Linked DNA regions of Arabidopsis thaliana. The protein of the gene in region 2 purifies or fractionates together with the protein of the main gene of each other region. This does not show direct contact. Each region holds a gene or a part of one and is shown on either strand. Other genes may lie near its edges. The genes, in order: AT4G39520, EIF2 GAMMA, La1 and EIF4E.

What was found.
Region 1: the proteins of EIF2 GAMMA (region 2) and AT4G39520 fractionate together in Arabidopsis thaliana (co-fractionation; one large-scale study listed by BioGRID). This does not show direct contact.
Region 3: the proteins of EIF2 GAMMA (region 2) and La1 fractionate together in Arabidopsis thaliana (co-fractionation; one large-scale study listed by BioGRID). This does not show direct contact.
Region 4: the proteins of EIF2 GAMMA (region 2) and EIF4E fractionate together in Arabidopsis thaliana (co-fractionation; one large-scale study listed by BioGRID). This does not show direct contact.

Annotation. Positions count from the first base shown.
Region 1 is NC_003075.7:18,368,675-18,377,406, forward strand, and holds AT4G39520 (GTP-binding protein-like protein), read right to left. Parts: upstream 5,566-8,732; 5' UTR 5,327-5,565; coding exon 5,285-5,326; intron 5,134-5,284; coding exon 5,080-5,133; intron 4,686-5,079; coding exon 4,509-4,685; intron 4,252-4,508; coding exon 4,180-4,251; intron 3,878-4,179; coding exon 3,818-3,877; intron 3,741-3,817; coding exon 3,631-3,740; intron 3,539-3,630; coding exon 3,239-3,538; intron 3,156-3,238; coding exon 2,964-3,155; intron 2,864-2,963; coding exon 2,812-2,863; intron 2,706-2,811; coding exon 2,655-2,705; 3' UTR 2,191-2,654; downstream 1-2,190. Other genes in the region: CYP96A12 (cytochrome P450, family 96, subfamily A, polypeptide 12), read right to left, coding at 271-1,797; AT4G39530 (Tetratricopeptide repeat (TPR)-like superfamily protein), read right to left, coding at 6,062-8,566. UniProt on the Arabidopsis thaliana protein: Binds GDP and GTP, and has low GTPase activity in vitro.
Region 2 is NC_003070.9:1,093,065-1,101,365, forward strand, and holds EIF2 GAMMA (eukaryotic translation initiation factor 2 gamma subunit), read left to right. Parts: upstream 1-3,817; 5' UTR 3,818-4,056; exon of another isoform or gene 4,057-4,222; intron 4,223-4,334; 5' UTR 4,335-4,358; coding exon 4,359-4,467; intron 4,468-4,554; coding exon 4,555-4,616; intron 4,617-4,735; coding exon 4,736-4,848; intron 4,849-4,934; coding exon 4,935-5,037; intron 5,038-5,314; coding exon 5,315-5,542; intron 5,543-5,653; coding exon 5,654-5,872; intron 5,873-5,972; coding exon 5,973-6,233; intron 6,234-6,335; coding exon 6,336-6,638; 3' UTR 6,639-6,837; downstream 6,838-8,301. Other genes in the region: XIB (myosin XI B), read left to right, coding at 45-184, 272-386, 477-521, 628-678, 761-931, 1,248-1,400, 1,487-1,678, 1,837-1,965 and 6 more.
Region 3 is NC_003075.7:15,784,152-15,791,945, forward strand, and holds La1 (La protein 1), read left to right. Parts: upstream 1-3,042; 5' UTR 3,043-3,161; coding exon 3,162-3,212; intron 3,213-3,315; coding exon 3,316-3,394; intron 3,395-3,493; coding exon 3,494-3,643; intron 3,644-3,920; coding exon 3,921-4,063; intron 4,064-4,153; coding exon 4,154-4,302; intron 4,303-4,415; coding exon 4,416-4,538; intron 4,539-4,627; coding exon 4,628-4,922; intron 4,923-5,027; coding exon 5,028-5,175; intron 5,176-5,270; coding exon 5,271-5,343; coding exon of another isoform or gene 5,344-5,347; intron 5,348-5,441; coding exon 5,442-5,532; 3' UTR 5,533-5,845; downstream 5,846-7,794. Other genes in the region: SCRL25 (SCR-like 25), read left to right, coding at 523-589, 822-1,018; SCRL24 (SCR-like 24), read left to right, coding at 2,186-2,252, 2,488-2,690; PC-MYB1 (Homeodomain-like protein), read left to right, coding at 6,888-6,958, 7,095-7,149, 7,374-7,431, 7,598-7,692, 7,793-7,794. UniProt on the Arabidopsis thaliana protein: Binds to the 3' poly(U) terminus of nascent RNA polymerase III transcripts, protecting them from exonuclease digestion and facilitating their folding and maturation.
Region 4 is NC_003075.7:10,015,068-10,022,125, reverse strand, and holds EIF4E (eukaryotic translation initiation factor 4E), read left to right. Parts: upstream 1-3,893; 5' UTR 3,894-3,974; coding exon 3,975-4,273; intron 4,274-4,716; coding exon 4,717-4,882; intron 4,883-4,977; coding exon 4,978-5,103; intron 5,104-5,196; coding exon 5,197-5,262; intron 5,263-5,351; coding exon 5,352-5,402; 3' UTR 5,403-5,596; downstream 5,597-7,058. Other genes in the region: AT4G18030 (S-adenosyl-L-methionine-dependent methyltransferases superfamily protein), read left to right, coding at 6,859-7,058. UniProt on the Arabidopsis thaliana protein: Component of the protein complex eIF4F, which is involved in the recognition of the mRNA cap, ATP-dependent unwinding of 5'-terminal secondary structure and recruitment of mRNA to the ribosome.

The DNA.
Region 1 (8,732 bases), on a different chromosome or scaffold from region 2:
ATATACCTAACTTTTCTAGTATTTTGAAAAGTGTCATTTTCCAAAATAGAACTAAATTACCGATACACCTAAATTTTGTGATAGATTTTTATTTTATTTTATTTTTACAACTAGTGCAACGTGATTTTGAAAGAAACTAATTTGACAATAGAGATTAACACTTACTTTCGAGAATCAAACAAACCTTGTAATCCTTTGTTATAGCATCTATCTCCGATAGATTTTATTTCAACGGAAAAAGGATTAATTTAAGCATTATACATACAAATTTCAAGCTGAACATCTCTTAGTAATTGTGACTCTAAGCCCATGCTTCATGTGCAACATAAGACCAGGTTCTGGCTCAATCTTCTGTCCTTTGATAACATCAATATCATAGTTTTGTAATATCTCCACAACTACGGTCTTCATTAGAGTCATAGCTAATTGCTTACCAGGACAAGTTCTCGGACCGGCGTTAAATGATAAAAACTTGAAGGAAGGTGCATGTCTCAACCCACCGGACTCAGAAACCCATCTCTCTGGCTTGAACTCTGTTGCATCTTCTCCCCAAACCGCTCTCATCCTTCCCAACGCGAAAAGAAAAATTATGATGACTGAGTTTGCTTCTACCTTATGCCCACTTGGCAGCACATCTGGCTTTATAGGAGACTTGCGTTGGAAGGCAACCGGTGGATAGAGCCTCATTGATTCATACAACGCCGCATGTAAGTAGACCAACTTGTCTAAGTTCTCTTGGCCATTTCTTCCGTCTTTTGAAATATTTTTGTCGATGATCTCTTTACGAATCTTTGTTACAACTTGAGGGTTTTCAGAGAGAAGCCAAAAAAACCAAGAGAGAGCAGAAGACGTTGTGTCTCTCCCAGCAAGATTGAAAGCTAAGATGGTGTCTCTGAGGAACTTATCATCACTCGGGTTCAAGAGCTCGTACTTGGTTGTATCAAGCTTTATGTGAGATGTCAAAAGATCCTCACTTTCACCATTTGCATGATGATCAATCCCCTGTGACCTTATCTCTTCTCTCTTAGCTAATATGTATTTCGCAGAAACGCGATCAAAAGTGGCATCAGCTTCAGTCATCCTCTTCTCTTGCCCTAACCCAAACCGGTTTTGCAGCTTCCAGAAGAACTTCGGTTTAATGTGCCTATAAAAAATCCCTTCTCCAAGATCGTCAAGAGCTTTAGCATACTCCACTTCCGGCATTTCAATAGAGAGAGATTTAGGATCAAACCCGGTAACAATAAAGAAAGTTGTATCAAAAGTGAATCTTTGAAACACTTGCTGCAAATCCACGACCTTCTCTTCCTCACAACATTGATTGAAAAGAGGAACAAGACCATCGTAAAGCTTACTCCTCGTTGCACTCAATGATAGCTTTTGAAAGCCTTGATGATTAAGCATGAATTGAGCAGCTTTTCTTTGATTCTTCCATAGCTCCGAGTCCGAACTAAAGATCATTTCTCCAAAAACATCAAAGACTTCTTTAAAGTCGGCACCTTTGGTATAGTTGGAGAAGTTTGAGCTCAATATGTAGTGAATATTAGCTGGATCAACTGTGAACAACATATCCATTTCAGCGAACCACGGTCCCTTAAATAGAAAGGTTAAGTGGCTCATTTCAAGAGCCTCCACGCCGAAGTTGTAGATGCGGTGGAGAACCATCAGGAAGCCTGGAAGCATCCCAATAACTGGCCAGTTTCGAAAAACCTGACCATGAGGTTTCTTGAAGTACATGTAATAGAAGAAGAAAAGGCAAATGATGGCTATGGCAACGTCAAGTAAGCTTACAGAAGCCATATGAGAGAGTTAGGAGCTTGGTTTACAGACACAATATGGTGGTGGTTCCTTTTGTGTGTTGAAGGAACTTGTTTATATAGAGTAAGATTATTACATATATAAATTAGCAACCAACAAAAAGAAAATTTATTAAAAAAGAAAGAAATTACCAATGCATTCATTCAACTGCTTTTCATATCTTAAGAATTAAGATTAGTGAAAGTGTTAAGCTGGTGAAGCTACTAACCACACAAATGGATGAGACAGAATTGGTGGAGGACTTGTAAAGAAGGGTCCATAATCTTACAATTTCAGACACTAAATGACAAACCAACTTTAAGAGGATAGACAAATCGAGAAGTGCATCAGAATTCACGGTCCCAGACACTGCAACGAAGGTCGTTGTAATAGTTTTCCAAATCTATTAATGTCATTAAATTTAATCAACAGTCCAAGTAACAACTAACTGTCAGAAATAATAACACCTCGACCTGGTCAGTGCAATGAAGGCCGTTTTAACAGTTTTTCTTTATTACATGAAGAAAAACTGAATCATATGTTTAGTAAATAAAATCCAAAAAAGTCTAGTTGCATACATAAAAACAAGGGAGGAGAAAATCTAGGCAAACCCATACTGGAGATAATAGGAGGTGTTCCGACAACATCAATCACATGCTTAATAGTATTATTGGAAGAAGACAAAAGTATCTAATAAGACATAAAAAAGGGTGTAGACACAGATTTCGTCTGGATATAATAATACAATTACAAAAGAAAGATAAAGCTGAGAAACCAAAAGAAATCCTGACCTTCCTATAGGAGATCTCATTATGGCTACTTTGGTTGGTCTCTTGACTGCTCTCCATTATCTGCAAAAATCATATCTTTTTAACGATCTGAACAACATCCTCGTCCTCAAGCTCGTGTTCCTGAAGTATAAAATACGATGTCGAGACAGCAATAGTTAGTTAGTCAGGGATATTGCAATATCGATTTACCAGATTAACTTTTGTTTGATTTGCTAGAAGAACTAACCTTTCCAACTCTTTGTGGCTTGTGTTTGGCACTTGAACCCCAAACCAGAGCGCTGTATCAGGAGATCATTAGTTAAGTATTCATGAGCGATGCTTTTGAGCAAGAACCATATAACAGAGAAAAGAAAAATGTTAAGGATTTTAATTACTTACTACTTGAATTGTTTAAGCATGTCTTTGTGAATCCGGATGCAGAAGTCCTCTACTGTTCTCTTCTTGGATGATAAGATTACGGGATCATCATAATCCGGATTCATTGCCTTTGGTTTTGTGTAGATTCGAGTTAGATCCAAGTATTCCCATATCTTGTCCAGAAGTCCATCAAGATTCCACTCCAGATGCGCACTGCAAGATAAATAAATTTATATCTTAATGGCAAAAGTAAACAAGTTTATCGCAAATCCTGCCGGTAATTTAACAACATTTACCTGACAGGACAGTAATGAGGAAGTTTGTCCAAAATTTCAAGTTCCTCAAGTGTGATTGAATCGATCTTGTTGACAGCATAGATACAGGGCATATAAATCCGACTGCCCTCGATGACATCAATGAGGTCATCAGCGGTTGCATCGTAGCGCAGGGTGATGTCAGCATTGTGCATCCTGTACTCACCGCAAATCGCCTTGACGGTGTCAAGGTCAAGGTGTGTGACAGCGACTGTAGAAGTTAGATTGATACCACCTTTGTCTTTTTTCCTAAATGTTAAATTTGGTGGCTCCTTGTTCAACCTACATAGCAACAGTCCATGATCGAGTCAGACTATCTACCAGAAACGATCAAATATACAGTGTATAAAGGTTGTTATATAAACAATCTATACCTTATTCCGAATCCTTCGAGCTCTTTTTCAATGAGACGCTTGTGAGTAATTGGTTTTATGGCATCAAGAACTATTAAGATGCAGTTGCATGTCCTAGCCGTACTTATAACCTGGAAATAGTAAAGTGTGAAAGATGATCAAAGAGGGTCAAAATATAAAATACTCAAGAGATTTAGACTCGACTTACCTGTCTTCCTCTACCTTTTCCATCTTTAGCACCCTCAATAATACCAGGAAGATCTAATAACTGCAAACACATAGAAGGGGACATAAAAAAGAGTATTAGCATCAGTGTCCAATGAATAATTACAGGTCGTTTCCTGACTTAAACTAAGTACCAAGAAGTCATTAAAAGATCAAGCAAGATACATGTTTAATATAGAAGTAAGACTCGAGAAAAGATAATTACAAGCTAGGACATGGCATATGTAGCCAAGGATTTCATTGTGTTTCAACAATTACCAAGACAGAGGAAACACTATCCAAGAATTATCATTTTTCCCCCACAAATAACAGATTAACACAGACGCATAGATGTAGATACCATACCTGGATTTTAGCTCCACGATATGTGATAACACCAGGAATGCATGTCAAAGTCGTGAACTCATAAGAAGCAACCTGAGAAAACATTGTGTATCACAGTATGTACCTTCAGAAAATTGAGTATCAGCCAAAATACAGTTCTAATTCCAAGATTTATGTTCATCTATCCAGGAAAAGACTAGCGCCGAACAGTCTTGCCTTATAAGTGATATTGCACAGGAAGTTGGTCAAAAAGTAACTAGAAATAGGATGCCATGGATACGTGGTAGGTTTCAAAATTCCAATTACAACAAGAGAAAGGAAGTTCAATATTCGTAACGATAACTACAAACCTCGGAAAATGTCCCAGTCAGCTTGTTTAATAGCGTAGATTTTCCAACCGAAGGAAATCCGACCAGTCCAACTCTAGAATCTCCACTTTTAGTCACATCAAAACCTTCTCCAGCACCACCACCGCCACCTTTGGTAGGCGGTGCAAGAAGGTCCCTCCGAAGCTTAGCAAGCTTGGCCTGCAAAATGGACCAGTGAAATATGACGAGAAGCTAATGGTGCAGGAATAAGTACCAAATTCTAAAATCAATACAGAATAATATATAATGCCTGCCTAGTAGTTGTTTGATCCAAGGAACTTCACAAGAGATCATGCCGTAAATAAAATATCTCAGCTTTGTGCTTATTCAATGATTTGGGAGTTCGTATAAAACATAAACGATTTCAACCAGAAGTTAAAATATTTCTTAATGAGCTTGCTTACTGGTTGGGATTTCATGATAGCTTTTATCAAGTATCAAAACAGATATAAACCAATCAACCAAATTTGCATTTGATAAGCAAAAACACCTCAACCAATCAACCTCACTCTCAAAGCTACAAAAAACGACCTAAAGAGGAGAAAAAATGTACCTTTAACAAACCCAGATGATGAGAAGTAGCTTTATTCTTCTGTGTTTTAGCCATCTGCCACATAAACAAAAAAAACCTCGTACTTGTGAGTCACCCAGATTGAAAAATCATTTCTTTGATTCAGAATAGATATTTCGGATTCACAGTTCTATGCATCCAAAATTGAAGAGAAGAGGTGAAGAATCAGAGAGGATTGAATAATTACCTCATCTTCAATTTCTTTGATCTTCTGCATAATAGTCGACATGGTTGCAGTCAAAGCACAGAGAGCTCACGGAGACAACGTCAAGGAAAAGAGGTTATACGCGAGTGAAAGGAAGAAGGACACCGGAATCTCTGATGCAGAGAAATTGACGACGACGGACGAGACAGAAGCAGAGGAATCCCGAGGGTTTTCGTTTCGTCCACCTGATTACGACAAAGGAGAAAAAACTAGAACAGAACTGTCTAGAATTCGGCCTGACCCAACAACATTTTAGGCCCATATATGTCCGATTTGGTTTTCCGGTTTAATAAAATTTACAACAGAATGAGAATTTAGTTTGGTTATATACAATAAACCCTGTTCTGAATTTTTGTTTTGTTTTGTTTTGAATTGGTGTTTTTCGGTTTTAGTTGATTTCAAAAACGGTTTAACTAAATTCAAATGAATCATGTACAACATACCATTCATGCATTCACCATTACAACTTCTCTCTCAACCCGGTTTTAGGAGATGATGAGAAGAAACTGAGAACTGAACCGGGGTTAATTTTTGAGTCTTCCTTCGGATTTGAACGGAACAGAATCGATTTTCCCTTGATTACAAAACTTAATAGCAACATCTTTGCTCTCCTGAGCTAGCTACCCCTTCAGCTTCTCGATATTAACCATGGCTTATTCTTTCTTCTTTGGCTCGCTTTTAAGCTTCATCTGCTGCATTGGTCTTTAACCAAATAGAGTCCATCACTCCAATAGAAAATGAGTTCTTGTATGGTAGTTATTAACTAACTCCTCTGATCTGCACAAGTAAGTCGTCTAACACTTCATAAATTTGATTAGCCTTGCAGTGAGATTTATCCTTAGACAAAAATATATGAACCTCCTTATTAATCCCAATCCAACTACGTCCAGGTTCTTTCACCACACCTTCAACCTTCATTCTTTCTCTCACCTTCTTAGCTTCAGTCCACATACCCTTGGACGCGTAAATATTAGAAAGCATAGTAAACGATCCACTGTCCTTGGGATCAGACAAAATAGCCATTTCAGCAGCATGTTCAGCTAACTCGACGTTACCGGCCTTTGCGCATCCACTCAGCAAGCTCCTCCATACTATAGCAGCTGGTTTTGTCGGCATTTTCTCAATTAACTCCCTTGCTTTGTTCAATCTACCAGCACGGCCTAAAAGAGATACCATACAAACATAGTGCTCAGTTTCAGGTTCAATTCCAAATCGAAGCATTAACTCAAATTGCTTAAGTCCATCTTCTACAAGACCAGCATGGCTACACGCTGATAGAACTCCAACAAAGGTGATGTAGTTAGGCTCTATTCCCTCACTCATCATTTTTTCAAGCATCTGAAGAGCCTTTTTGCCTTCTCCATGATTCGCATAAGATGAGATGACAGAATTCCAACAAACTACATCTCTTGAAGCTGCTGAATCAAAAGCCTTATGAGCGTCTTCGGGACTACCACATTTGGCGTACATATCTAGTAGAGCATTTGTAATATACGGATTACATTCCAAGCCTCTTTTCAGAAGCTGGCAATGGAACTCTTGACCCAATTGAACACTTGCTAGGTTGCCAGCTGCTGTAACCATGTTGGCAAACGTGAATTCGTCAGGTCTTTCTCTTGATAACTGTAATTCCAGAAACAGGTTGAGAGCTTCTTCGTTCTCTGATTGTTGAACATAACCTGCAAACATAGAATTCCAGATAACAAGATCTTTCACTTTCATTTCATCAAACACAAGCCTGGAATCCTTGAGGCAGTAGCAATTTGAGTAAACATCAATCAAAGCGCTTCCAGCAAATATATCTAAGTTTAACCCATATTTGAACATCAATCCATGGATTTGTTTACTCAGTCCCAAGCTTGTTAAAGAAGCAGATGCACGTAGAAGGCTAACAAAAGTCAATAGGCTAGGTCGAATCAATCTGAACCTCATGTCACGAAAGATGTTCAATGCTTCATGTAGTTCCCATTGTGTCCCAAGTCTCGAGTAACCTTCAATCATTGCATTGAATAAAACCACATCAGCAGCAGCGAAAATATCAAAAACTTTTCTGGCATCGGTCAAACAGTCACATTTCGCATACATGTCAATCAAGCTGTTAGTCACATAGCTATCATTGCCAAGATTGGCTTTGATAGTGTAAGCATGAACTTGTGTTCCAAATCCCAAAGCATGAAGTGAGGCACAAGATGTGAGTATGCTAGAGCAAGCATACATATCCGGCTTTAAACCAAACTTTGACATACTGGTAAACAATTCCATGGCTTCTTTATGAAGAGCGTTCTGCTTATAACCAGAGAGCAAAGTGGTCCACGAAATGATGTTTTTATTCGGCATTCCATTGAATAGCTTATGAGCCGCTATAACTCTGCCACACTTCACATAAGAATCTATAAGCACATTCATCAGTGAGGCATCCATCTCAAGTCCATATCTTAAGATGTGCGCATGAATCTGCTTCCCACCTTCAAGAAACGGAAGTATTGAACATGCACTTAGAACCGTCGAAAGGATGTAGCCATCTGGAACAACATTGTCTTCCATTAGTTGGTAGAACAGCTGTAATGAAACGTAGCTTCTTCCCATTTTTACACACCCACTGATCATGGTCGTCCAAGTCACAGTAGATTTCTCTGGTAAAGCATCAAACACAAGCCTCGCATAATCGATATTACCATCCTTCAAATAAAAATCAATCAACAAGGTACCAACATAAACATCCCTATCAAACCCACTCTTGACAAGAAAACTTTGTAGTTGAAACACCATCCAACGCCCACGACCATCTAAGCCTGAGCAAGCTTGAATAAAACTCGACAAAATATATTCATTCGGACTGTCTTTTCTAGTTCTCCAGAACTCTAAGAAAACCACCAAAGATTCCTCATAAATCCCATGATGGTTGCAAGCTGAAACCATGGTAGACCAAGAAACTAAGTTTCTCTCAGGCATTTTCTCGAACACCTTACGTGCATAAACCATACCACCAGCTCTCGAATACAAATTGATCAAAATGTTGCTAAGATACGTATCTAACTCGAGGCCCCAAACAATAATCTGACCATGAACTACATTTTGATAATGCAACAGATCATCTGACGCACGCAGCTGCAAGAGACGAGCAAATTCGCGCCTTCCTCGGATTCCTATCGTAGAAGGAAAATCTGCGTTTACAAATTCCAAAAGACTTGAAGCAGAAGAAGATGAAGAGGAGTATAAACGTATGGTTTCTTGGACTTTACGCCAACAGCGATAGCTTCTCATCCTCCTGAGTGAGAAGAACAGAGCGTGCTGTGACGAATAAACATGCTGCCGTTTTTTGTCATAAGCGAAGAAAGGGTGATGGAACTAATAAATAAAACGGCAACCAGTTATACTACCAAACATCAAAACGACAGGTGGCTGATGATATTGGATGATTTAAGTTTTT
Region 2 (8,301 bases):
AAACTATGCTTAAAAGGTGCCTCTTTATTGTTTATCTTATGCAGGGGATGGTGAGTTCTCTTGAGATAAAGATAGATGAGACAGCAAAAGAACTTCATGAAACAGCCAGGATTAGTCAGGATAGACTAAAGCAAGCGTTGGCGGCAGAATCTAAAGTAGCGAAGTTGAAGACTGCGATGCAGAGGTACTGTTTGCATGACTCTATCTATTAGCAGTGGCAGTAATATATTACTTATCTTGTTCAGACAATAAGCTGATGTTTCATTTGCAGGCTTGAAGAGAAGATTTCAGACATGGAAACTGAGAAACAAATTATGCTTCAGCAAACAATCTTAAACACTCCTGTGAAATCTGTAGCAGGGCATCCTCCAACTGCAACTATTAAGGTAGAATTGTTTCTAAGATACTGAAACATATGGTCTTTTGTGTTACCTTCTACTTGTGCTTGATGTTAAACTTTTTGGTCCTGTTTGCAGAATCTGGAAAATGGCCACCGTACAAACTTGGAAAACCAGTTCAATGTAGGGTAGCTCTTCCAAAACTACTATCTTGATCTCTTGGATTTCTCATATCCTTTTCTTTTGCATTTTCTGTTGGTTTGTTCATCTGAGAAGTATACTTTTTCAGGAAGTTGAGGTCAATGGAAATGCTGGGAAATCTGCTGCAGAACGTCAACTTGTACTGGCCAATCACTTTATACTATATATGCAAACAGTTTTAACAAGTAACTCTGTTAATCTGATTTTCTCTGCCGGTGCAGGAGAATGTTGATACTCTCATCGACTGTGTTAAGGAAAACATTGGTTTCAGTAATGGGAAACCTATTGCTGCATTTACAATATACAAGTGTCTTCTTCACTGGAAGTGCTTTGAATCAGAGAAGACTAGTGCGTTTGATCGTCTTATTGAGATGATTGGTTCCGCGATTGAGGTAAATTGGGGTGCATTTTGTGCCATTATGAAGATACTGATATGTCCCAAAATGAGGATTCTTATGTATGTCTTGTAAAATGGCTGTTAATTCCTAGGGCATGGAAAGACTTATTTGCATAACTTATTATGTCACCTGCTTGAGATAGGATTCAACTAGCCGTTGCTTTCTAATTTGACACTATATGTTGTATGTTCTCTTATATCCTTTTATCATACACTAATCATCTAGTGGAGAGGAGTATAAGCCTTTTTTTTGTTTGTCTTATCATTTGGAAGTAACAATTGCTGCTCTACTGAAATTTTTTTCTTTTCAGAATGAAGATGACAATGGTCATTTGGCGTATTGGTTGACAAACACATCGGCACTACTGTTTTTACTTCAAAAAAGTCTTAAACCTGCTGGCGCCGGAGCAACGGCAAGCAAGAAGCCACCCATAACAACTTCCTTGTTTGGAAGAATGGCCTTGGTATTTTAACTTTCTGTGTTAGTAGGGCTTTTTGACGGATCTTTTACTTTGAATCTTAACTATCCTTTCCCTTATTGTTTAACCAGAGCTTCCGCTCATCACCAAACCTTGCTGCTGCGGCTGAAGCTGCTGCTCTTGCGGTGATCCGCCCAGTGGAGGCAAAATACCCGGCTCTGCTTTTCAAGCAACAGCTTGCAGCATATGTGGAGAAAATATTTGGGATGATTAGGGATAACTTGAAGAAAGAGCTCTCAGCTTTAATATCTATGTGCATTCAGGTTTCATTGACTTCTCTCTTTGCAGCTATATATTTTTGTCCTGACTTTACGTTGTTGTATCCTAATGCTGTGACCACTCGCTTGTTGCGTTGCACCTTGATAATAAATGTGTTTTACTATTGTAACAAGTCCTGTTCTGTCAAAACTTTGAACTTCAGGCACCGAGAATTTCAAAAGGAGGGATACAAAGATCTGCTAGATCTCTTGGAAAAGATTCTCCTGCTATTCACTGGCAGAGCATTATTGATGGTCTCAATTCGCTGCTTGCCATATTGAAAGATAATTATGTAAGGAAATAGTAAAAGTTCCATGACATTATTCTGTTTTCAAATCCTCAAATTCTCATATGTTTCATGGTGTACAGGTTCCTTTGGTACTCATCCAGAAGATACACACTCAAACTTTCTCGTTCGTCAATGTGCAACTATTTAACAGGTAAATAATACTTGAGAATTACATCTAATGGTTTCTACACACCTTATCATCGATACTCGTCAAAGTACAAACCTTCCTATGGTTGATATTTCTCAAATTCCTATGGAAGATATAAGCCAAGATCACTAGTGTTTTCTTACTTGGTTTTTTCCTTAACATCTTACAATAGCCTTCTACTGCGTAAAGAGTGTTGTACATTCAGCAATGGAGAATTTGTAAAGTCTGGGCTTGCAGAGCTAGAATTGTGGTGCGGCCAAGTCAATGAAGTAAGTTCCTACCTCACGTTTTCCTTCCGGAAAAAGTTTCTTTCGGCTCATTATATCATTCTTTGATTTTGCAGTATGCTGGGCCATCTTGGGATGAACTGAAACACATCAGACAAGCTGTTGGGTTCCTGGTATGTTTTACTCTTGTTTAATACTAACTTGTGGAACTCTTGTTTCTTGAATCTTCAAAAACGAATACTTCTCCTCTCGTAACTTATCAGGTTATCCACCAGAAGTACAGAGTATCATACGATGATATAGTACATGATCTTTGCCCGGTAAAGCTCCTTCTTAGTTTCTAGAAACACGTTTTTGCCTAGACTCCATACTTAATGGCTTTCTTGTTTCACTTTATTACAGATCCTTAGTGTCCAACAACTTTACCGGATATGCACATTATACTGGGACGACTGCTATAACACCCGAAGTGTGTCTCAAGAGGTAATATCGAGCATGCGTGCGCTCATGACAGAAGAATCCAACGATGCCGACAGCAATTCCTTCTTGTTGGATGATAATTCCAGGTAACTCGAATCATTTCTTAAAGATTAATATCAGTAGTAGAAACTAAAACCGGTTTATTGTTCGCAGCATTCCCTTCTCAATAGACGAGATTTCGAATTCGATGCACGAAAAAGACTTTGCGAGTGTCAAACCGGCCAAAGAGCTACTGGAAAACCCAGAATTCGTATTCTTGCACTAGTGAGAAGCTCGGATTCTAAAAAAGCTCTTCCTCTGTTTCTTTTTAGTCTGAGTGGGGGAGGGGTGCCTTCTTGAACCAAAAGGAAAGAAGATTACAAAAGTGTAAATTTTTACTTCTTGTGGGGTTGTTTCTTTCTTGCAAAACCTCTGTGATTTCTCTCTCACCAATTCATTCATTTATTTATTTGACCCCATTTCAAAGTTTTTTCTCCATTTTAGACCCAAGATTATTATCTGGTTTTTTTTTTTCACGGCTCAAGTTCTACACGATGAAGATCCTTTGTTGTTGTTGTACAGAATTAATCTACTTAATTTGTTATAAACTTGCCCCAACTCTTTTCAGTGATTTTTTTTTAAAAAATTTGGGACTCAATCAAACTCCATTACACCTGGTGATATTGGTTTAAAACCAACGTTTCTGACTTCAACAGCCGAGATTCAAAGACTTCAAAACCTTCCAAAAAAAAACAAATTCATAACTGGTTCGGAAAGATAAATTGACAAACCCGAGAGAGATAGAGGAACACGAACGCTTATAGTCGATCGCAAATAGGCCTTTCACTTGAGGTGTCTGTCTCAAGTTCGAATTCTAAAAGTTTTATGGTTTTTTTTGTTTAACTGTGTTTTATGTTGGGCCAAATTGTTTTTTGCTTTTAGGCATTAAATTTAGTCGGGCCGGCCCTGCACATAAAATTAATATGATGAAATGTTTTGGGTTTGATACTTTGATTCATAGAAAAAGTAAATTAGTCTCTACTGATAGTAATTTAATTAAATACTAGTATTTCATTATTTTGTAAGAAATTTTAGAAAGGGAAAAAAAAAAAAGGTTACGCGAAGGAAACCAAAAACCCTTTAGGGACTTGGATAGAAAAAAAAAAACCATTTTGTGCATCTTCTTCAAGCTGCGCCGCTTTCTCACTCTTTTTTATCTCTCAAATTTGACCTTCTCCGTTGTTCTTTCGCATCGCTCAGGTTCGTTTCGATCTCGAATTACATCTCCTACGGATTCAATATTTGTTCAACCTAATTGTTCCCATTTCTATCGCACGAAGATTAGTTCGGGGAATCTAATCGTAATCATAATGTTTTTTTAGATTGCGAATCGAAATTATTGTGATATTTAGGTAACGGAGCTCAGGTATAGAATCTGTGTGTCGACTTGATTAGGGCAGATGTAGAAAAACCTGAGAAGTAGTCTTTTTCAGATTAACTAGGGTTAGGGTTCTGATTTGATGCTCGGTTTTAAGCAGGAGCAGAAGCTTCAATCTTTGATAATGTCGAGGAACAAGGGTTTGGCTGAGCAAGATCTTAAAAAATTGGATGTAACTGTGCTACATCCTCTGTCTCCTGAGGTCATTTCTCGCCAGGCCACTATTAATATAGGTAACGCTTTTTTGAGTCTTTTATATAAGTTGATGTTGAAGAAACTGGCAGTTCCTATAAGCTAAAGATGATAGTGTTATGTTTCAGGAACCATTGGTCATGTCGCTCATGGAAAGTCCACTGTTGTTAAAGCTATTTCTGGTGTCCAGGTAAAATTTGATTATGCGGTTTTCACAATTGTAATCCTAGAGGCTTTTCTAGCTTGCAGCGTTTGATCAATTGGAGTGGGTGAAGTGATTTCTATGGTTTCCTTATCTTCTCTGTACAGACTGTCCGTTTTAAAAATGAATTGGAGCGTAACATTACCATTAAGCTTGGATATGCAAACGCCAAGATTTACAAATGTGAGGATGAGAAATGCCCTAGACCAATGTGCTACAAGTGAGTCCTTCTTACAACAGTGTTTTTATCTTCTACTTCTACTATAAGGTTTGAGTCAAGGTCTAACAACTTATCTGTTGTATTAGGGCCTACGGAAGTGGAAAGGAAGACACTCCCAATTGTGATGTCCCCGGATTTGAAAACTCCAAGATGAAACTATTGAGGCATGTCTCATTCGTTGATTGCCCGGTATGATGAGTTTTACCGTTATCTTTATTCTTCATTAATTACCATTTTCATTTGATAGTATAAGTGTATAACCATTTCATGTGTCAATGAGCTGTTCGTTTATTGTGTATTATCGATGTTGTTGTGCTCCACCTGCATGATTTTGGGTCTCTCATTTAATTGGGTGAAGGGCTTAAAGAGTGAGGGTTGATGGAGAAGTATTCATTGATGTTTCCATCTTTTGCTTTTCTTATCTCTACTTCATTCTTGTTGAATGTATTCTTGTTCTATTCTTCAGGGTCACGATATTCTCATGGCAACAATGCTTAATGGAGCAGCCATCATGGATGGTGCACTACTTTTAATCGCTGCAAATGAAACTTGTCCACAACCACAAACGTCTGAACATCTTGCTGCCGTTGAGATTATGCAACTTAAGCATATCATCATCCTTCAGAACAAGATTGATCTTATTCAAGAGAATGTTGCCATTAATCAGCACGAGGCAATTCAGAAATTTATAATGGTTAGGTTTTCTTATCTCTTAAGGATCTGTTGTAGCATTCTCATTTCGTCACTTGGTTAAGCTAAGTATTGAAGAACTTGGTTCTAAAATTTCTTTCACATCCTGTTGCAGAACACTGTTGCTGATGCTGCTCCGATCGTCCCTGTCTCAGCACAACTGAAATACAACATTGATGTGGTGTGCGAGTACATTGTCAAGAAGATCCCAATCCCTGAGAGGAATTTTGTGTCACCCCCAAATATGATAGTGATTCGGTCTTTTGATGTCAACAAACCTGGTTATGAGGTTGATGAGATCAAAGGTGGAGTTGCAGGTGGAAGTATCCTACGGGTATCTATTCTCTCTCTCTCCCTTTCTCTTGTTGTGCCTCTTAAGTACATCAAGCTTTATATGGTGTAATCAGTATCTCTTAACTACATGTATATTGTAGGGTGTTTTGAGAGTCAACCAATTAATCGAAATCCGACCTGGTATCGTTACCAAAGACGAGCGTGGCAACTCAAAATGCACTCCAATTTACTCTCGCATCATTTCACTCTACGCGGAACAGAACGAGCTTCAGTTTGCTGTTCCTGGAGGTCTAATAGGAGTTGGAACAACAATGGACCCAACTCTCACTCGTGCAGATCGATTAGTTGGTCAAGTCCTTGGTGAAATCGGTTCACTTCCTGATGTATTTGTTGAACTCGAGGTATAAACAACTCCTCACAACCATACTCTTCAGTCTTTATGGTCCTAATGGGTCTCTTAGTGTATTTTCTCCTTTTAATTTGTGGTTATGTAAAATCTGTAGGTGAACTTCTTTCTTCTACGACGTTTGTTGGGAGTGAGAACAAAGGGATCAGAGAAACAAGGGAAAGTGTCAAAGCTAACGAAAGGAGAGATTCTGATGCTCAACATTGGTTCGATGTCCACTGGAGCCAAAGTTGTAGGAGTTAAAGTCGATCTGGCTAAACTGCAACTGACTGCGCCTGTTTGTACCAGCAAAGGAGAGAAAGTGGCTCTAAGCAGACGTGTGGAAAAGCATTGGCGTTTGATTGGTTGGGGTCAGATTCAAGCTGGAACCACCATCGAAGTTCCTCCTTCACCTTTCTAAGCTATGTGTTATTTTTGTCCTTTTTGTTTGTGTTTCTGAAAAAAAGATTGTTAAACCCCTCAAAAAGATAATAAAACTCTTTTTCTCGTTGGGGGATTTTGGAGAGTTCGTCTTTGCGGATTAAACATCTTCAAACAGTACCTGATTTGTTATTGTTACTAGTTTGCTCTTTGTTATTGTTACTAGTTTGCTCTTTGTTTGTGTTTTTCTCTTAGATATTACTAAATTTTGTTGTCTCTCTTTTTTTTTTTGAAATTTTTGTCAGAGATACTCTGCTACTTGACTATACATACTTTCTTCAGAAAAGGAACAACTTCATTACTCATTAGGATCCGATCAAGTACGACTTTTTATAATAAATACGACTTTTTAGTCAAAATGTTCATGTCTTCTCTCTAAAGAACGTTATTTGTTTGCGATTTGAATTGAGTGTCTTGCCTTCCACTGTGTATATCCGTGCGAAAACTTATGTTACATAGACGGGACTGCAGAGGCAGCAAGTCTCCATTCGGCTCATCTGGAACTGTCTCAACAACACTTGCATTTGTGGTTCGCCTTCCCATTGAAATGAGAAGAATCGCTGACTGTGTTCCAAAGTGATGGGTTAACATGCCAACCTTTCATGCAGGGAAACAAGTTTAGTTACCTAGACTCCCGCAACAAATACTTGCACAAATTGAAACTCTGGAAGAAGATAAACCCGAATGGTACTTTCATCACGCACTTGCTCCACAATACCTTCTATTGGCTTGCCCTTCCACAGAGCCAAATTCTCTTCCACCAATAGCTTCCACTTTGTAATGGAGGCGCTCCTTCTTGAAGCGGGGAAAAAGCGTCCGCTCCAGGTTTTAAATTCCTTATGTGACCGTTAATCCTTAGGGGAACAAAAAAAGGAAATAAAGCCATCCAATTGAAAAAAGTGTTAAACTCATTTTAAAAAACATAATAATAATTTTCCCGAAAATTTAAAACTTAAACTTTAAAAAAATAAGTAATAATTTAACTAAAACTATGTTAATTAGAATTTGCCGTGTGAATCACGATGATACGAAGTAAATAAAAGTCTGACTATTATTAAATTTGATTTACTAACGTGTATTTGGTTAATCCAGTAGTTATACCGTGAAGCTTATGTAGCTTTATTTCTAGTCACGAATTAAAACATTAATCTATAGAATTAATTATGACCATTAATTATTTTTATGTGGAAAATAATTAGTCAAAGAAGAAGGTGTGATACTTTTTGCATGTTAGAAATTAATGAACTTGTAACTACTTTGACTGAACATTCTTAATTTTGACCGGACGGTTAGTCGGTTACAACACTAACCATACTTAACGGCTTATTATTGTTGTTATACTATATATCTAATGGCCATATATATATATAACGCTAAAGCTGTTCTCGTTTTTTAAGAGAAAAACAAAACTCGGGAGTTTCATGTGGCCTCATGTGTTTTCTGCTTCTCTTAGTATAAACTTAAGTCACTGATTTATTTCTTGGTGAAGTAGTTAATTAACTAACAGTTGACAAATCAACTAACTTATAGATAATACTCTTATCTTAAAACAATGAATTAATTAATTAACTAAATCATTTAATTCGAAATCAAATATTTTGCCACATTCCCAACGATTGTGATTCACTGGCCAATTAAAAATG
Region 3 (7,794 bases), on a different chromosome or scaffold from region 2:
AACAAGAACTACTCCTATCAGAATCAATTTTCTTGGAATATAATGTAGACTTAACAGCAAACACGAAATCGGAGTAAGAGAAAAACAATGAATCGAAAATACGAACAGTGAAAGAGGTCAAATCAAAGGAAATCACTTTATACGTTGGATCTCCGCCGAGAGTCCAATTAGCTTCTCCCAGTTTGGTGATGATTTTTTCCAGGAAACTTCAGATCAAACGATGGAATCAAAATCAAGAGTCAAAAAATCTTGCCGCAGAAGTAGACGTCAAATAACAACTTTTCTAAAAATATAAACTAATTTTGTCGAACTTGTTTACTTGGCTCTTTGAACTCGATCGTTGAATTTCACAAAGCATGATTTTCTATATATAGCTCAATCTATTTTTGCTCTGAGTTAAGAATATTTATAACGAGTGTTGATGATGAAAATGAATACTTGTAATGAGAATAAAGATTAAAACACAATAAATTTCTTCAAGTAACACGAACAAAAGATTATTATCAACTATTTTAATTAATCATGAAATTTGCTACTTGCTTTTTAGTTTCTTACGTTCTTGTCTTTCTCGTTCTTAGCGTCTGTAAAGGTAATATATACCAGATATTTTCTTTCGATTCTGTTTCGTTACTTGCGTAATATAGAACTATGACCCTTACAAATTATTGGCAAACAAAATTACAGTGTTGACATTAGAAAAAACTAACAAAAATGTTGTTCTAGAACAATGTTTTTTGTTTTGTTTTTTTTTTTTTGCATTATCAATAATTGTTTTATCTAAAGAGCTTCAACCAAAAACAAACTAACAGTTCTTGTTGTAGAAGTGGAAGCCAAAGAACTGTGTAATAGAATAGAAGACATCGATGGAAATTGTGACTTTGAAGGAGAGAAGGGGTGCTTGAAATTCATGACGAATAAATATAAGAAAGAAAGACATGTTAGCTGCACATGTACTAACCTTTACATGTTACACAAGACCAAACGTTTTTGCGACTGTAAACATCGCTGCTCAGGATAAACTCCCCTAACCAACATTGCTTTTACCTATTTTTTAGTTTTTACTAATAGAATTGTTATGAGTGTTTGTAGTGTTGTCATTTTCATGACCCATAAATAAGTTATGTTATTCTAATGTATCTCTCTTTTTCCACACAAATTTTTAATAAAGTTATGAGTTACTTCTTTCTAAGTAGTTAGTATGAGTTTTCCAATCAATCTATTTTCCACGTTCAGTTTTCCAAATTGTATTGATCCTGTTATAGTGTAATTACGCATTTTGTAATTGGCCATGGTACTACAATACTAATACTATCATGTTATCTGCAGACTTCAATCTTTTATTTTTAAAAATTAATTATTAGCATTTGTAATATTGATGTAATTTTAATACAAACTGTTTATTAATTTGTTTGAAAACTTATGTGGACAAATAAAATTAGTATACAGAACAAAAAAATATGTTTCAATACCAAAAAAAGTTCACTCCCTAAGCTTTTCTGTCTCTTAAGGATAACATCCTGGATGAGGTCTCTCGATGATTCCCCCCACATACAACATAACCATATAAAAAAAAAATCATCAGCCAAGTGAAGCCTCGGGAACAGTAGTGTGAACCTTTGGATCCTTGGCCTATCGTCAAATGATCGACGACGGTCGAGTTGATTGATCCTACACAGTACACAACCTGAATGTTTTCCCATAGCATCTCTGCTTCATCTATTCCTTGCTAGTAGGATTGATCCCAGAAAACCATAAATTTGTTTTATAAAGATTGAACGTTTGTCTATAGATTAATTTTCAATGGATTAAACATTGTAAATTAATGGTCTTATGGATTTTGTGAGTTTAGATTATCAAGGTTAGAACTGTGTATTTTGAAAAGAATAGGTGATGCGTCATCACAATACACGCAAAAAAAAAAAGTGAAAAATATATAATACTAGTAAGTAGATTTACAAAGAAGAATTTTTCCAAAAAAGAAAGAGTTGATCCGTCGAACTCGTTAATTAAGAAGGCTCGTTGAATTTTACAAAGCAAATTCTAAAAAAAGATGCATCTATTTTTACGATATCTCGAATATATTTATTATGAGTGTTGTTGATAAGAAAGATAAAAAATTCGAGAGGCAAACAATAGTTTTCTGCAACTATAGAGATAATTAATAATTCTTATCAGCTTTTCAATCATGAGATCTGTTATTTGGTTTATAGTTTCTTATACTCTCATGTTACTCGTTCTGAGAGGTGGTAAAGGTAATATGTTGAGTTTTTTTTGTATGGACGTAACTCGTATATAATAAGATATAAAACAAGGATGTTCTTTCTAATTGCAAAAACGGTGTTGTGATTAAAGGAAATAAAAAGCATTGTTACAACGTTAACATATGGTTTAATAGTGAACTTATTTGGATTGTCATTTGTTTATTAATCGAACTAAAATTAACGTTTTTTTTTTTTTTTTTGGTTTGTGTGGTTGAGAAAACAATAGAAGTGGAAGCTGAGAAACTGTGTACAACGATAGGAGACTTGGACGGTAAATGTAGCCAAGACGGAGAAAAGTTGTGCATGAGATACATGACTGATCAATCTAAAAAAAAGTTTCTTAGCTGCACATGTAATAACGTTGTTATGTTACACAAGTACAAACATTATTGCGAATGTCAATCTCATTGTACTCCAAAACAAACGTAAGCTGTAACTCTATAATCAATATATCTCTTTACAACTAAATAAGAATTGTTGATAGAGTTTGTAGTGTTTTCACGACTCAAAAATACAAATGTTGTGCTGATTGAAGTATGAATTTTTGGTTCAAGTCTTGATCTTGATCATTGAAAAAAATCGTGAAAATATTGATCAATTGCCAACGAAAAGACGTAATGGGGTGAATCAGATAGTGTAGGATTATTTGGGGTAATTTTGTTACATTCTAAAGTATAGTGGGTGGGGTTAAATTGATAGTATTAAAAAAGTCAAGGGTTAATACGAAATACAAATATAATCAATAGCGAAAAACCAAAAAATAAATAAATAAATGACAATTTGACTCGAAAACTTTAAGAGAAAATGGAAACTGTGTCTCAATAAACCCTAGTACCCTTTTTCTCTCTTATTCTTCTATCTTCCTCCTCCTCTATCTTTCGCTCGAGCCATTGAGCAATTATGTCGATTCCTTGTCTAACCGAAGAGACAGCCAAAACTGTTCTTCGCCAGGTACAAACTTGTCTTCTTCTTCTTCTTCTGCGGTTCCTCTCTAGTAGCTTCACCAGTTTTTTTTCTTTCGATTATGTTCTGATATTTGATATCGATTTTATAGGTGGAGTTCTATTTCAGTGATAGTAATCTACCCATTGATGATTTCCTCAAGAAGACTGTTACAGAGAGCGAAGATGGCTGTAAAGTTTTAAACTTTTAAACAAATTCAGTCGCTATCGCTGTGTATTTTGATTTTTTTTTGTTATGGCTAATTGATGATTTTTTGGTTTGTCAAATAGTGGTGAGTTTGGCGTTGATTTGCTCCTTTAGTAAGATGAGAGGATATTTGAAGTTGGGTGATTCTAAAGGAGATGATATTCCTGAAGATACCATCAAAGCTGTTGCTGATACTCTTCGAACCTCTTCTGCTCTCAAGATTTCTGACGATGGTGAGTTTCATGATATAATCAAGTTTCTGTTGGGTTTGGATATAGTTAACAATTGCTTTAATTGATTCAAACGAAGTAGTGATATCTTAGAAGAAAGATAATAGTTTGAGAGTTTCAATTATAGGTGAATGGCCTGTGTAGTGCATAGTTTAAACTTAGTTTCATTAAGAAAAGTCTTTGCATGTGGATTTTACAAGTTTGATAATATGTGGTGTCAGATTGGAGAAATATGTTTTGTACAGTTTAGTGATCAATTTTGTTGGATTTTCTTAAACAGGGAAAAAGGTTGGTAGGAGTACTGAATTGTTGAAGCTGGAAGATTTGATTGAGCAACTTAATGCTAGAACAGTAGCTGCGTCACCTTTCTCCTATGATGTTAAAAGGGAAGACGTGGAATCCTTTTTCAGTCAGTATGGAAAGGTAATCCACTATCGATTGAATCATAAGCCATTGTTCAAAATTTAGATTGGTTATACAAGTTTTTGGTATATGTATGTGTCGTCCTTGCAGGTTAATAGTGTGAGGATGCCTCGTCATGTTGCAGAGTCGAGGATATTTTCTGGTGTTGCCTTGGTTGAGTTCCCTACAGAAGAGGATGCCCAGAATGTTATGAAGCAGAATTTGGTCTTTGCTGGTCAGGAGTTGGAGCTGAAACCAAAGTAATCATACTTAGACATGAAAACATGTCCTGTTTGCTGACTGTTTCTCATTTTACAAGTCTTTCCATTGAATGTTTGGATGGGTTACTTAAAAGGTGATATATTCTTTTCAGGAAAGAGTTTGATAATGAAAGGGAGAAGGATGAAGTAAAATTTGCTAATTACCAACCTCAGAAGGGATCTGCAAATCAGAAGAATGGTTCTGATCACAAAAACAATTCTGCTTATGAGCCAGAGTAGGGGTTTGACTGTTGCTATCTAATTACTTGTCTTTTCATGCTAATAATCCTCTTGATCTGATTATGGCTATTTTATCGTATTGTAGTTATCCCAAGGGTTTGATCATTTCATTCACCCTCAAGCGTTCAGCTGAAGAGGGTACCACGGAACAAAAAAGTTCTGAGGAGCCAACTGATAAGACAATGGAAGAAAGTGAAACAAAGCCAGCAGATACTCCTGATGCTGATAAAGAAAACACTGGTGAGGTTCAGGCCGAGGGAGCAGAGGATGAAGATGATGAGAAAGAAGAAAAGGGTGCTCTAGCCACCCATAAAGATAATAAGGATGTTGTCTTACGTGAAGATCTTAAGGCTGTTTTCGGAAAATTTGGTGATGTCAAGGTACTACTTGAGTTTTACTTAGCTGTCTGTCAACATGAATCAGATTCAATATCTCATATAACTGACATCATTTTCACTGATTCCTTTATTCTTTTTGTTGTGAAGTTTGTTGATTTCAAGATGGGATCTGAGACGGGTTATCTTAGGTTTGATGAACCTGAAGCATCCCAGAAAGCCCGTGCAGCAGCAGTATTAGCCAATGAAGGTGGACTAGCCGTGAAGAATTTTATTGCTGTCCTAGAACCTGTTATTGGTAAAAACACCTTTTCAACTTCAATCTTATCTTATAACTAAACCTTGTGTTCTGCTTTAGTTAAATGGTCACTTGTTTATATTGCTCTCTGTCAGGCGAAGCTGAAAAGGAGTATTGGACTCTCCTACGAAGCAAAGATCGGTTTGACAAGGGTGGCCGTGGAGGAAGGTGAGTTCATGTTTTTGTTCTGGTTTCTTTGTTATGATTTTGTTTCAAATGAAGTTTTTGTTTGGTTCTTCAGATAATAATATACTTGGTCTATGCAGGGGAGGAAGAAGAGGAGGGAGATTCGGGAGAAAGAGGGGATCAGATTCACCGGGTGGTCGCTGGAACAAATCTCAGAAGGTGGAAGCATGAGAGATTTCGCTCGTGACTGCTTCTGTTTTTCAATATATTTCTAGTTGCAACTTTAAATTTAATGTATCGACTGGTGACTCGTGATGTTATAACTAGAAATAGCTGCTTATTTGGCAAATTTTGGTTTAGTCATATTTGGTATTGTTTTGTTTAGCTTTATGTGCCTTCTTATGCACACATCTCTTTCCTTAATTATTTTAAATCGATGTTTAGGAAGCATTCTAAAAGACAAACTATTAATATTAACTGCTAAAAGTATATTCCTGTAAATTCTACAACTGTATCAATTGACTCACTGATGATGACACTATTTTACTTGAAGTAGTTAAAATTAATTTTGAAAATCAAATAGTTTTGGTATTCTTCTTGGTCTTCTCGTTTGACTTTGTCTACATTGTTATTAGGTTTTTATGCTGATTTTAGAATTAGCTGTTACTGGCAATTTCATCTTCTTCCTTTTTAATGAGAAAAAAACTCTTCTTTCATACAAAGAATGCTTTGCCGTTGTTTAGAAGAAGAAGCAACAGAGAATCTCGAAAGAAAAATGAATGAAGAAACGTATAAATAAATAAATTGAACTTTTATGATATGAGAGACTAAAAAGCGAGATTCAGAGATTGAAATCAACGGCTGAGATCACTTTCCTTTTTGTTTTGATCTCTCTCTCTCTCTCTCTCTCTCACTTCGAATTCCGTCCGCCTCTCCATGTTTGAGTTTTGAATACCTCTCTCTCTCTCTCTCATTCTCTCTCTCTCTCTCTCTCTCTCTCTCTCTCTCTCTCTCTCTCTCTCGACTTCGATTTCGATTTGTGTTCTTCTTCTTCTTCATCTGGATTCTCAGCGTCTTAATTACTTCAGATTAATTTTGGAATTCGTTGATCTGCAAGGTGTGAGCTTTACTCGTATGACCTCGTCTCCTTCTCTTATTATGGTCACATTTTTGTTAGTTTTCACGGAGACTTCTTCCTGATTTTTCAAAAATCTACTCTTTGAACTTCTCTTACTTTTTTTCGTATAAAGTTTCGATTTTCTTCAGATGATGTTCGAAGCTTTTTTCTCGAGGTTTTTGTTTTGGGTTCTGAAACTAATTCGGGCTTCTTATCTTAGGTTTTTTTGGATCCAATCTCAATATCTAAAGCTACCTTCTTCATTCTGTGAACTTCTTCCTTGTTTTGACTTTAGTTTGCTCTTTTGCTGTGAAGCTAATGCTGATTCTTAGTCTGAGTCCGACTGTGTTTTTAATTTTATGGTTTATCTTTGTTTCAAATTACAGCAATGTGCTTCGCTTATGATGATTTCTAAGACATATCAAAGAAACGGACTTTGGGGTTTTTCATATTGCTTTCCTTGCTAACTATGAAGCGTGAGATGAAAGCACCTACTACTCCACTAGAGAGTCTCCAAGGTGACCTCAAAGGAAAACAAGGGTACGCTTACATCTCTCTTCCTTTTCTTCTATTGGGTTTCAATGTTGAAGTTGGATTGCTTTTGGCACCAAATTTTGCATTCAACTAGACATTCTCAGGTTAATAATGATGCAAGCTCTTTGTGACATTTTCATAGGAGGACATCTGGCCCTGCTAGACGATCTACCAAAGGACAATGGACACCTGAAGAGGTGCGTTCCGTTCCTGTGTCTTTTTTGTTGTCTATCTGATTCTTCCATGCTTCATATTATGTATCCTGGAACACTGCCTGAGCTTAATCAGTTGTCTCTGTAACACCCTATTGTTGCTTCGCACAGTTCCATTTAACTAGTTGACATTAGCTATCCTTTGCATCTATTGAAGAATTCGTCTCTATGAAGTTTTCTGTTGTATCAATTCTGTTTTTCTGGATCAGGACGAAGTCTTGTGTAAAGCTGTTGAGCGTTTTCAAGGAAAGAACTGGAAGAAGATAGGTAAATCGAATAGCAAATTCTGATTTCTTCTTGTTTTCCCAGTTTGTTTTTCCAGCGTATGTTAAGATCATATCAATAATAATCTACTTTAGCTGCCATGTTTATTTGTAGTCTTTAGTTAGTACGGTGAAAGTAATATGTGGTTTTATTTGATTCACCTTTTCAGCTGAATGTTTTAAGGATCGGACTGATGTTCAGTGTCTTCATAGATGGCAAAAGGTCTTGAACCCAGAGCTTGTGAAAGGACCGTGGTCAAAAGAGGTGATTTTGTGAATTGCTTTATATGCTTTACTCGGTTTGAGTCTAATACACCTTAGCATTTGTAATGTGTTCCATGACATTACTTTTCCATGTTTTGAAGGA
Region 4 (7,058 bases), on a different chromosome or scaffold from region 2:
TCTATAAGGAAGGAGATGGAAATAAAAATAGAGAAGGCTTTATATATAAGGGAAGGTTATTGCGTAGCAAGAGATATCAAAATTTGATACGCGTTCTTGAAAAAAAACAAATTGGTAACAAAATAAAATCCAGACTGTAAAATTATGAGAATCTTAAGAGAGTTTCTAGAAGGACCAAAAGAGGGAGATACAGAAGTGAGGCAACGAAGAGAGAGGAGAACAAAACTGGTGAAATTCCAAATACCGTTATGGATTTTTTAGATCTCACTTATATATATACAAGTCACTTACTTACTTTTCGTGATCGTCTCTCTTCCTTAATATAGAGTTAGATAGTTGATAACTATTTTTAATTATTCTCTTTGACGTTTGCGTTATGACTTATGATGTTGTTAGAGCTTTTAAGAAATTAAACGTTAGTTATTGTTTTTTTAACAATATATATCATCTCATATTTGAATGGATAAAATAAGAGAAAATCAGTATTAACTAGTACACGTAACACATCAATGAAATACAAACCGCCGGAATAATAAATTCTGATCAATTAGGCATTAAGTAAATTGACCAAAACAAAAAGTATATTTTACTTTAGGAGATTAGCCGGAACAAAATACTAGATACATTTTAATGTAGAAAAGCATGTAATAATATAAGAACATAATGTAGTCTTCAAGCGACCTTTCCAATATATATTCCAATAATATTTATCGATTCGGAAATTCCGAATTCCCCCCAAACTTTGACCATAGTTTATTCCGTTCGGCTCCACCAAAGATATGTGACTAATTAAATGTTTTGTTCAGATAGCAAACTAAATAATAATATAACTGTTACACTCTTTATTTGCTTAATTTTGTATTCACTTATTATGTTCTAGTTTTGTTTTGTTTTTGGTGTAAATGTTCTACTTTTGTTATTAAGATGGGAAGCTAAAAGCCTAAAAAGTACACGTATAATATAATATTGATTGGTCTTTTTTTTTGTCGGCATATTAATTGATTGGTTTAGAGTTAACAAGAATCATATTAAAAATAATTTAGTCATATGGATTAAGGATAATCCTTAGTGGAGAATCAAACATCTTTATATCCGCAAATTTGTGTGAAAACTTGCTTTTGGAAAAGATGGTATATATGTGTATAGTTGATAACTTATAAGTGTTCTCTAAGTATTACTCCATTTTTCATAATAAATGTTGTTATATACTTTAACAAAAAATATTTTTCAATGTATATTTTAAAAATTAAGTTCCAAACTTTTCTGTTTAATTTTTGCTTTCTTAGTTAATGAAATAAAATGAAATTGCATATCATAAATGTTAATTATAAGATGAATTTATAGTTTTTAATGTGTGAAAATTGTATAAAATGTGCATAATGAAAGGAAATGAGTAATATAAATCATGTGGTGTACGATATATATCAAAGAGAAATAATTCTTATAATCAAACAACACTTACTTAGGTATATATCTCCCAAGCACGGGCCATACGGATAGTTCACCGCTCATTGATAGATTCAAGCTATAATTTTAGTTGTTGTTGTGGCATAAAATTTTCTGGCATCGAGTTGTTGTTATGAGATAACTTCAAACAAATATAAACACCAGATAAGAGACAAGTTTGCTTCCTTGGGCATCATCATTCACCAATGATTACGTAATCAGTGACAATTATATTCGAGTGAACTTAATCAGTGACAATTTGATGTGAAATGATTACATGTATAGCGCATAAATGTTCATGACAGTGTCAAGGAAAAGAAAACCCAAAGAATATAGTGATTAATTTATATATTTTTGATAAAAGTGATTAATAAAAAAAGATGAAGCAAAGTATGCATTAACCTTGTTTTCCATTTCCTTTAAATTTCTTTTTACAATTTAAATTATATATACTCTATGTAAGTCTTACATATCTTTTCATAAAAAGAATGTACATCAATTATGGATTCAAATTTTCTCTGTTCTTTGGACATGTTTTGTAAGTTTACTTTCTTTTCAAAAGTAAATATTAATGTTAATTTTTTAAAAGTTGAAAAGAAATTAAAAAGAGATTTTGATTCTAATCTTTATAGAATAATGGGAGAAACGATGACGCGTTATGCAATATTACCATACAAGTCAATTCATACGATCCAAACTCATCATTTATCAATTATCACTTGTGTCGTCAATACCAGTCAGGCAGTCACTTCTAAACTTTACAAAAAAAAAAAGAAAAAAAAAAACTGTTGATCAGTTCTTTACTACAAAAGAAAACGTCAACTAGCGACAAACTTTGATCTATCGACCATCATTAAGCGCTCGTTGCTAAACAAAAAAGTCGATAGATTTGAAAAATCTCCCGTATATAAAATATGTTGATAAATATAAAATAAGTTTATTTGATTCATTGCATGAGCCATGATTAACGTCGACAACCTTTTTCTTTCTTACATCTGCTTAAAAAAAAATCACACGCACTGAGAAGTTAGATTAAGAATGGTTGACAATTTATTTATTTTTGGTATAAAGAATGGTTGACAATTTATTTATTTTTGGTATAAAGAATGGTTGACAACTAAAGCAAACTTAAACTTATTCTTTTCGAATTACGTATGTACTATCATTATAAATATATTCTCGAATAACTCATATCAAATATATATTTGAAACGTGTATAACTAACATTCGAGATTCTTGGTTTGACGGCATATAGACAAGCCATGCAATTATGTTTTTGCAGCGAATCAAATAATCTTATTTCTTATAAAATCTAAAGAATATATAGCATAGAAATGTAAACAAAAACCAAACTCTATATTTATAGTCTCTCCTGGTGTCGAGAATAACTTTTTTGAGTATATTCTGCACAATTAGTTACTACTTACTAAGTTACTAGTGAGTAGTGATGCACAATAAACAAATTCTGACAGTTAATGGAATAGAACCAGCTTCACTTAGTTATACGTCTCTATCAACTATGAAGTAATAGAATACATTCGACTGCGAAACATTATGAAATCTTTTTATTTTCTCCTTTCTTTCGTTTGACCGATAAAACCAATGGAATGAATATAAGAAATTTCGTTTTGTTTCTGTACGTGGTATATCCACTGATTTAAACTTTTAAATTTACATGCACGGAACTTAAACACAATTGTATATTGTTTAGATTTAGAATATAATCCAGTTGTCTTGTTGGTCTAACATATTATATATATTAATTAACCCAAACTAGGTACATAAACAATTTAATATCTTAAAAGAAATACTATTATGGGGCGGCAGGCAGATCACAACCTTTAGAAATAGAAAGGTAAGACAAACTCACTTATATAGTCAAAAGCTATTAACACTTCCATAAGATATAAATCTCTCAAACTTTTGACAGTCTACAAAATACTTCACATTTTCTTAATAATCATATTATATGCTTTTGTGAAAGCATATAAAAACCTGATCATGTTCGTTTTACAGTTCTGACAATAACAACATGTTTTCTTAACTTTTTTGTAGCTGCTAGCGATCAACGACCAAACTAACGAAAACAACCAATTCTAAAGTTTGTTGTTTGTTTATGTGGTTAGTAATTCAATAATCGAATTTGGCAACCAGTTTTGGTGACTGATTTCATCAACTAATGACTAAAAATTCAGTCTATAAACATTTTCACGTTTCATATTTTGAATTAACGTTAATCACTAAAATTATTTGATTTTTTTGAAGACTACAAAACAAACATAATTTAGTACATGTACTTCAAACTAACACGACCATTAGAAAAACCTTTAAGAGCAAAAAGAGCCGGAGACAAGTTAAAGCCCATAATAGTTGTTAAGTTATCTCTTCGGCCCAAAAAGAAAAAAGACAAGAAGTATGTAATTAAAACGACGTCGTATCATAGTTAACCCTACGAGAGGAAGTACATTAGTTTGGAGAAGAGTAATAGACAGAGAGATAGAGAGAAAGAGAAGCAGTTCGGAGAAACAATGGCGGTAGAAGACACTCCCAAATCTGTTGTAACGGAAGAAGCTAAGCCTAATTCAATAGAGAATCCGATTGATCGATACCATGAGGAAGGTGATGATGCCGAAGAAGGAGAGATCGCCGGAGGAGAAGGAGACGGAAACGTTGACGAATCGAGCAAATCCGGTGTTCCTGAATCGCATCCTCTGGAACATTCATGGACTTTCTGGTTCGATAATCCTGCTGTGAAATCGAAACAAACCTCTTGGGGAAGTTCCTTGCGACCCGTGTTTACGTTTTCAACTGTTGAGGAATTTTGGAGGTTAGGTTTTTGATTTTATTTTATTTCCGACTCAATATCTGGTTTGTTCAATTATTCTGCATCTGGGTTTTGTTATAGGTTTCGATTTGTTGAGGAAAGTTATGTTCTTTATTGGGGGATTAGAAGATCCCATTGAAGTCATTATATGTTTTTGATGAATTGCTATGTTTGGTGTTTGAATTCGTAGCTAAAGCTTATGTTAGGGTTTAGCTTTGATATTCTGTTCACTTGTTTGTGAAGTAAAGTAGAAGAGCAAAGTTTGTGAGAGAAAGAGACCAACTTTGAAATCTTTCTTAGTGGTTTTCTAGGTATCAGAATTTGAGCAAACACTTTCGTGATGACTGAGGGTTGATGTTGTATAGTTCTTGCTCTTCCCAATGAGATTCATAGGTTTGTGTATTGTTCTTTCGACTTCTTATTTTAAAAGACATTTTGGTTTGCAGTTTGTACAACAACATGAAGCATCCGAGCAAGTTAGCTCACGGAGCTGACTTCTACTGTTTCAAACACATCATTGAACCTAAGTGGGAGGATCCTATTTGTGCTAATGGAGGAAAATGGACTATGACTTTCCCTAAGGAGAAGTCTGATAAGAGCTGGCTCTACACTGTACGGTTTCTATTCTTCTTTTATTTTGACTCGTAACTCCTGCGTCATCATCCAATTGAATCTCACCGGTTTTTCTTTTTACATGCTTGGTTTAGTTGCTTGCATTGATTGGAGAGCAGTTTGATCATGGAGATGAAATATGTGGAGCAGTTGTCAACATTAGAGGAAAGCAAGAAAGGATATCTATTTGGACTAAAAATGCTTCAAACGAAGCTGCTCAGGTAAATAGAAAAGACCTTTCTCATCAAAACTCATCAAACAGTCTCTCTGTGTAAAAATAAGACTTTAATTCTCGTCTGCATCAAATGTTGCAGGTGAGCATTGGAAAACAATGGAAGGAGTTTCTCGATTACAACAACAGCATAGGTTTCATCATCCATGTAAGAAGAAAGCTTCTCATAATTCTAATTCAAAAGTCTTCATTTTCTTCAGATCTCTCATTGTTTGGTTTGGTTTCTTTTTTTTTCAGGAGGATGCGAAGAAGCTCGACAGGAATGCAAAGAACGCTTACACCGCTTGAAACCTCTCAAATCTTTGCATTGTTTCAATTACAGTTTTGTATGTGAGAGATCTCTATTTATCTAAACATGACTTGACAGTCTGTCTTTGCTAGTGTTGATTGTTCACGAAGCTCTAACATTTCATTTAGTAATATATTAGTATGGTTCTTCATAATATTTACGTTGGTGCCCTTGTATAAAACCACCGGAGTGAGCGCAAGCTTTACAGACAAACAGTGCTTCTGTCTACCCAAGGCGGGCCTTAAAAGCCTGAATAGTGTATATGTTTACTTGACAAGAGCCCATGTACACTCATGAGCGATTGACTTTAACCGGTTTTAGAGAAAACTACTTTTACATTGTCACATTTACATCCTTTATAATTAACCTTTTAATTTAGGTTTTAAAGATCCACCTCAGCATTTATTTTAATGGAATGATTATTTAGCAGTGTGAACCGATTAACTCGGTTTTTGACGGTGACCGGTTTAGAGGAAATGGGAGTGTCGGTAGGAGATCTAAGTAGCGAGTATGTAAATTGTCCAACTGTCTGAAAAGGACCACTTGGGACGACAAGATTCTTCGGCTAATAATAATACATCACTCGTTTCAACAAATAAAATTTTCCTTTCTATTATTATGCAATCTTATAGCATATGGATTTGATCTTTTTTAATATATAAACAAAAGGTTTTCCAATTATGCTAAACCATAATCTGAAATTGATTTTAAATAGCTACAATCAACTACCCAAAAGCTTCAAATATGCAAAATAATAAAGTATAGGTTTATATATATAAACGCACACAAAAGAGGTTGAATAAAAATAAACATAAGGATGCATGTGCAGTCCAGATTAGATCTAAATCTATTGAGTATTGTAATAATATTGTTATGAAGATCTTGCTGCGAAACTACACACATTTAATTCCAACATGTTTTGTTTATAGAAATTGAATAAAATCAAACGCGCCTTCATCTTCAAGTTAAAAATCAAATCTTAATTAGTGAAGACAAAGAAGAAGAAGACATTATTTTAAGTGAGTTCTCTCTCTGTCACACTCACAAAGCTTTATACTTTCTGGCTACTGCAAGCTCATCACTGAAAAGAGCTTAAACCAGAGAGATCTGATAAGAGAAATTTTAGAGTCTCTCTGCTTCAACAAGATCTACATCGACCAGGTTCAATATTTTTCTCTACTGTTAGTTCGTGTTCTAGCTCTGTTTCAACGAGATCCGATTCTGTGTTTTCGATTTCAGTGCTAAAGTTACGGTCTTTGAATCTTTCTATGTTAGGATTAGTCTTTTGAATCCATAAACTCTAGATTTCAATTGTTAAAGGCTAGGTTTTGATTAGTTTGAATTAGCTAGATCCTTTTTTAACAGATCTTGATGTTTAAGCTCAAAGTTGTGTCGTTATACTGAGAATCAAGTTTGTGATTTGTTGGGAATGGTTTCAGGAGATTAGAAAGAATCATGGGTTCTAAGCATAACCCACCAGGGAATAACAGATCGAGAAGTACACTATCTCTACTCGTTGTGGTTGGTTTATGTTGTTTCTTCTATCTTCTTGGAGCATGGCAAAAGAGTGGGTTTGGTAAAGGAGATAGCATAGCTATGGAGATTACAAAGCAAGCGCAGTGTACTGACATTGTCACTGATCTTGATTTTGAACC